2 separate regions of the Mus musculus genome follow, and region 2 is reported to be linked to region 1. Evidence: microRNA targets listed by miRTarBase, many of them from high-throughput screens and not tested one by one. Region 1 holds a microRNA gene; the other region holds the end of a gene's coding sequence.
Evidence for each region. The annotated mature microRNA mmu-miR-3088-3p reads UUCAUGAGCAGCUGCAAAGGUGU and lies in region 1 at 1,193-1,215, shown strand. An mRNA with a match to its seed (bases 2 to 7 or 8) in the 3' UTR can be bound and repressed. Matches are read on the target gene's strand: a 7mer-m8 pairs with bases 2 to 8, a 7mer-A1 pairs with bases 2 to 7 and ends in A, and an 8mer does both.

Region 2: miRTarBase lists Scoc as a target of mmu-miR-3088-3p. Seed matches in the 3' UTR shown: 7mer-A1 at 1,851-1,857.

Annotation. Positions count from the first base shown.
Region 1 is chr2:28,732,129-28,735,538 of GRCm38, forward strand. It overlaps Mir3088 (microRNA 3088), which reads left to right and starts at 1,150; the gene lies at 1,150-1,223. It overlaps Ak8 (adenylate kinase 8), which reads left to right. Exons shown (of 13, transcript NM_001033874.2): 6 at 1,679-1,760; 7 at 2,246-2,317; 8 at 3,375-3,410.
Region 2 is chr8:83,433,057-83,436,466 of GRCm38, forward strand. Scoc (short coiled-coil protein) reads right to left here. Exons shown (of 4, transcript NM_019708.4): 4 at 1,436-2,984. The coding sequence ends at 2,842. Among named protein-coding and RNA genes, the nearest start is that of Scoc, 7.9 kb to the right of the region's middle.

The DNA of each region.
Region 1 (3,410 bases):
GAATTCTTTCAGTTTTGTTCCTCTAGAGAACCCTAATACATTGTGTGTCCATGTGTGCATGCACGTGTGTGCATTTCCTGTAAAGGCAAGGGGTACCTCAGGGGCTCCTCTGGAACAGCATCGCTTTGTTATGTGAGACAGTTGTCGCTCGCTGTCTGTCAAGCCAGCCCCAGCCATGCACTTGTCTCCTCCTTCCAGGGCTGGGACTGGATTGTAAGTGTGCACTGCCATGCTTGGCTTTGAACCTAGTGACCCCTTATCTTAGCAATCTTATATCCCAGAAAAAATTCAACATGTGAAAGGGCTGTGCACCCAAAGATGTTCACTGCAGTGACGTTTATGATGGTGTAGTCAGGGTTCTCTAGAGTAACAAAACTTATAGAATGAATATATATGTATATAGTGTATATGTAAATATATATATATGTGTGTATATATATATATGTGTGTATATGTATATATATATATGAATATGATGTCTATATATGGGATTTCTTAGGATGACTTACAGGCCCTGGTTCAGCTATTCCAGCAGTGACTGACTGAATGAAAAGTCAAAGGGTTCAGTAGTTGTTTCATCCACAAAGCTGCATAACTCAGAGCATCTTCAGTAGATGTCAGATTCCTGAACAAGGCTCTAATGCTGCTGAAGGAATGGACTTGCTAGAAAGATTGAGAATTAAACAGGCAGAGAGAGGGGAGGGGAGGGGGAGGGGGGAGGGGGAGAGAGAGAGAGAGAGAGAGAAATTTCATTCTTTCATGTCCTTATATAGGCTTCCAGCCAAAAGGTAGCCCAGGTTAAAGGCGTGTCTCAGTCCAGGTTAAAGGCGTGTCTGTCTTCCTACCTCTGAGTTGTGTATTAGGAGCAGCTCTTTCAACTTCAGATTTAGCAAAAATCCCTCACTCATGTGCCCTCCATTTTCCTTTAAAATTTAGTTCATTCCAGATGTAAGCAAATTGGCAACCGATGGTTGCCATCGCAGATGGTGAAAAATGTTTACAGATTCGTGAAGCTGTGGGCAAAGCTGGCAGCATGGCTCAGTCACTTAGGGATGTGGTATAAACCTTCAAAAGCAGAGGCGGCGAAGGCCCATGCTGGCAGGGACACATGCTGATAGTAGCTGCGGTGGCTGCGGGAAGCCAGGACCTCAGTGCCTGCTATGCAGTTGTTCATGAGCTCTGGCTCCGAAGGTTCATGAGCAGCTGCAAAGGTGTTGCTGCTGTCAAGAACACTTCTTTGGCTTCAAAGATTCCAGCACTTGTTAGACCTTCTAAAACACAATGTAAAGTAGGCAGGGGCTACTCAGAGGGTAAAGGTGCTTGCTGTCAATCTCAGTGGCCTGAGTTCAATCCCCAGGACCCACATTGGGTAGAATCCAAGGACTAACTTTTGAAAATTGTCTCTGACCTCTGCATGTGTGCTGTGGCACTCCCACAGCACACACTCACATGCACACACTCCCACAGCACACACTCACATGTACACACTCACACAGCACACATTCACATGCACACACTCACAGTACACACATGTACACACTCACACAGCACACATTCACATGCACACACTCACACATTCACACATGCATACATACTACTCACCCACTCACATATGTGTGCACAAAATAAGTGAAGGTAAAAACCTACAGTGAAGAGCCTCTCCGTACTGTTTCTCTAGGGCTGGATCCTGGACGGCATCCCTGAGAGGCGGGAGCAGGCTCTGATGATCCAGACCCTGGGGCTGGCGCCCAAGCACGTCAGTGAGTAAACCCCTGGACCCTGCTGCCCTGAGCATGCACTGCTCTTTAGTGCTGGCACTGCCCATCCTCTACCCTGGGCCCAATCACTGCTCACAGGACGGTCTCAAGGGCCTGGAACCCAGCAAGAAAAGACATTAGGTGAAGTCCAGCCTCATTGACAGGCTAAATCTACTGAGGACTAGTCAGTAAGAAAAGCAGGGTTCCTCGTGTAAGGAATGTCCCTGCTGTGGGTCTCTTTAGGAAACGAAGGGAAGGAAGGGTGGCAGGGTCTGAATCACAGAGACCTCTACTCTATGATTTTACACAGTGAAAATTGGTGGCCAGGGACATATCCCACCATGGACTGGTCTCAGAATGGTTTAGTGCCATCTGGGAGATGGGTAACATGGGGGGGGGTGGGGTTGAATGTGATCACATGGCAGAGGACTCAGGCATGTGGCACCTGATCCCAGCACACCTGGTTTGTTCCTTTCTTCTCTGCCCAGTTGTGCTTAATGCTCCAGACACTGTCCTGATCGAGAGAAATGTGGGCAAGCGGATCGACCCTGTCACCGGAGGTACGACCCCACCCGAGGGATTCAAAGACTGGGAGAGAATGCCCCTGTCCCACTGTCTACTCTAGGCACCCAGGGGGTTGTCTCAGACTCAGAAGCCACCAGAAACAGAAATCCCAGAAGTCGGGGAAGAGGTCATCTTGGGTGAAGGCAGCCTTGTCCTTAGGAAATGGGACTCTGGGTATTGACTATGTCCAGAAGCTAGACTCTGCAGAGCTGGTCTTGGGGCTCAGGTTCATGCACGGGGGACATTGCTCAGCGGGGCTGGTGTCCCTCTTCCTGGGAAGCCGTGCACCCCACGTTGCTTGCTCTGTGTGTGGAGGAGTACGGTGTATGAGTTGCCTAAAGAACTACGAGTGCTGTGAATGGGATCTTAAGTAGCCACATCGACAGGGCTGGGGGACAAGGGGAAGGTGCCTTTCTTGGGCTTGGTTTTCTCTGGACTTGGGGTGAAAGCTCAAATTCTGTGAGGATGAATTGAGTCTGCAGGGCCCATCCAGGGCCTAGCACAAAGCGAGAACTCAGAGATCCATGGTTGCCCTCAGTTCCAGGCTGAGAGGAACCACTGTGTTTTTTCTTGAGGTGATCTGGAGTCTCTGAGTCATGGAGTCTAGATTGGCCTTGTGCTTGCTATGTAGGTGAGGAGGACTTTGAACTCCTGATCCTCTTGCCTCCATTATAGAAGGCCGAAGAAGAGGGAGGCACTTGAGGGACCCCAGCTTCGGAATGTTCTGGAGGGGGAATGGTATACTGGCCTTAGGTCTGAGAGAGTTGCCATGACTCCATCACGCCTGGTTTTTGCCATGCTGGGAATTGAACCCAGGGCTTTGTGGATTTGAAGCAAACACTTTATCAACTAAGCTACATCTGTCCCCAACCTCATCATTATTTGTTGTTGCTATGAGTAACAACTGATGTGATCCATGCGTCGTCGTTGTTAGTGAGACACTTGCTGACTGGGAATGGTCAGCCACATCCCTGGGCAGCACCAGGCAGGCAGTGCAGCAGAGCCTGCAGCAGCCATGGGTGCTTCTCTAACCCCGTGCCTCTCCCGGTGCAGAGATCTATCACACCACCTTCGACTGGCCCCCTGAGC
Region 2 (3,410 bases), not on the chromosome of region 1:
CTGGCTTACCCAATGCCAATCAGCAAGGGGCAGAGCCAGCTCTTCTGCTCTCATGCCCCTGGGGGTCAGCTCACCCACAACCACTCCAGCAGGAACAGCTTTATTATGCTGCCCAGGTGAGGCGCAGAGCCCACTCTACCAAAGTGTTGCAACTGGTGAGGGGCAGGGCTAGCTCTCCAGCTCTGCAGACCCCAGGGCCAGCTCTCCCACCTGCATTTCAGTGGGCCCTAAGGTAGTTGCCTCTGTTACAGAGTCAAGTCCTAGAGAAAAAAAGCTTGAGTCAGGGCTAGAAGAAAGTTTGACTGTCCCTGACACACAGACTGAGAGTACAAAGATAAAAGGTTTCAAAGCAAGATGGCTCAAGCTAGGGTACAGTCCAACTACATGAGCTTGGTCCCCAGAACTCACATGGTGGGAAATAGGACAGACTCTTGTAGGCTGTCCTCTAACCTCAGTGCATATAGCAAACAGATGGAAGAGATGTAAACTAGGTAAAAGGCTTCAGTTTTTTTGTTTGAGAACGCTATACTAGCCAAAACAAAACAAAACAAAACCCTTGAGCTTGACTTAAAATAAGGGGCACCAAGCTCTTGCCAACAACTGGACGGTTTTCTCAACCTTAGGGGTGGAGGTGGGGTGGGTATGGAATAACTTTGAAGGGGAAAGCCACAAAAGCTAGTGAGAAAGGAAAGCCTTGGTCAGAGTCAGGGTCTATATCCAGGGACTTGTGTCCAAGTTCCATTCCACCACTGCCTCAGATCTAAGTGTCTCTACTCCACATCGCACACTGAGAGCTTTCTACTTGGCTATCCTGTCCCATAATACTCTAGACCAGGGAAAAAGTGAGAACAGATAAACTGAGGGACCTCAAGGGAGATCTTGGATTTTAAGCTCAATCCTTAGCTGGATTGGGGCACGGAGGTGGGGTGCTGGAATGCTTTCTCTGTGAGGAAACATAGTTCCAGAGACTTTGTAGCAAGAGATCAAGCTGTGGCTAGGACTGCTAGGACAAGTCCTTCACTTCCTCCCACATGGAAGAAATCACACTGCTCAGCCAATCCGAGGCTTTGGATGTAAAGAGGCCTGGACCATTTCAAGACAGAACTCTTCATACCTAGATTCTGGGCACTCACAAACTCTTTCCTGTAAATAGAATGAATAGTGTAACTGATGATGCAGAAGCCATGACAGAACAATCTATGCAGCAGAGCCCTCTAGCCTGGGAACAAGTGAGGGGAAGGAGCCTAACCCTAAGCCAGCCCCCTTCCCTAGAACTTCAATAAAGGGTAAGCTTCTGCAACACTGTGCTACTAAAGACTGCCCTGTAGCAGTCTTGGGTGCTTAAATAAGATACACTATTACAATGTGATACTGCAAACCCTGGATACCCAATGCACATGTACTTAGCAAGTGTATCAAAACACACACACACACAAAACCTCTGAAACAGCTTTTTATTAAACAGCAAAGCAGAACTTGAACACAATTTTAAATATCTGTAACAAGGTCACAAAAGGGTTGCAAAATGTCTGCAATGTGAGGATTACACATCCATATAGCTAACGTCACTCATCAAGGCTTACATTAATACATTAGATAATTCCACAAGTCAAAGCAGCCCAGCCTAAGAGCCACCAGCTGCATTAGTGGATCTTTCCTATTATAAGACTTCACTATTATTTCTGATATCAGCTCCTTATCAAATGGAAGCTACAAACTAAATTTTTAAAATTTGTTAAAAGAATGACTAAAATTCTGCAAACTAAGTAGTTGAGTTTACAGAAATTCTGGGAAAACAACTGAGATAAAATACCGAGGTTAATAATTATCACATATACAAAACTCTTATATTCATGATTCTGATATTAATATACTCTCAATTAATTTTGCAAAAGTTCATTTCCTGGGTACAAATAAACTTTGAGACCAAACTCTTAACTAGTCTCTCTTAATCCACTTACATTAGACTCAGTCCACTTTCATATATGTCCCCAAAGTGCAGCTGTGGGCCAGAGGTAATACACATTTAGAGGGAAAACACTGCGAGCTGGTTATTTCTGTTAATCCAGTTTTCCTTCTTATTCCTATCTTTTCTCAAGTTTTTTGTTTGTTTGTTGTTTTTTAATTTCTCACACACATATGACCAGCATTCCTATCTTTTCAACACCAAATGAACTATTTTATGCAATAGGGAGTTTTTAGCTTCTCAGTGTGGCAGTTTACATTTCAAAGAAAACTCTTCATTTTCTATAGCTTCAATCTACTTTCGATTGATTAAAGAGAAACCAGCAATCCTATCTTATTACTAAATATCACAAACGGCAAGCCTTAGATAAGAAAGTGTCTTATTTTGGTTAAGTGTCAACAATTCTAGTTTAGGTTACTCTTGTAGGAGAAACTGCTGAAGTTACCGTCAGGGAGGGAGATGGGAGAGGCACAAGACGGTGCACAAGGTACAGAAGCTGTGCATTCAGTACATGGTTTTGGTCACTTTTCACAACATGGTTATTTTTTTGTATATTTTACTAGTTAGGCTTATGATAAAAGACAGTGCTAAACCTATATATATATAAGCAAATTGGCAAAACATTCATCTTCAAGTTTCATAAATATCTGTAATTCTAATATAAAGTCTCTACATGTGCACATTTTCATAGACTAACGTATACATATAGCGTTAACTCAGAGATGCTCCTGTTCAGCATTAGTGTTACCTAGATGTGACATTCTCTTTATAAATACTCAGGGAAGAACAAAGATACTCTAACTTTTGGATCATATCCAAGCCTTAAGGGGGAAGAAAAAAAGCAGCAATCCATAGAAGAGAGGGAGGTGAGCCCTTTACTTCCTTTTGCTTTTTGTATCAGTTGTTTGAAAAACACTAGAAGCAGACATGAGGTTTTCTATATATTGTCCGAGAACTTGATTTTCCGACTTTAGCTTCAGATTTTCTTCCTTAACTGCATCTACTCTTGCAGAAAGATCTGTATTCAAAATAAATAAATAAAAATACAATTACCAATAAAAATCATGGCAATGACTCCATGTTACAAATGCAGACCAGGCTGTGGGGTGACTCAGTGCTACAGCCCTTGCCTAGCATGTGTGATACCCTGAATCTGATTCGTAGCACTAACAACAAATAAATATCACAATTTGTAAGTTTTCTGTTTTTTTTTTTTTTTTTAATTCAGGTTATTGGGGGAAAGGCTTAGGTTAAAAAAAAACCTTGTACTGAGTACAAATCAGAAGACGGTGATTGTTAACAGTGTTTGCCATGGGACTCGGGAGTCTGTAGAGAGCATTTCTTTTAACTCTTGAGGTGGTTAAGAAAACATTGCATTTCTAAAGTATGCCTGTCCTCCCACACATAATGGTCATGTCTTTACTGGAAATGTTTAAGATGCAGA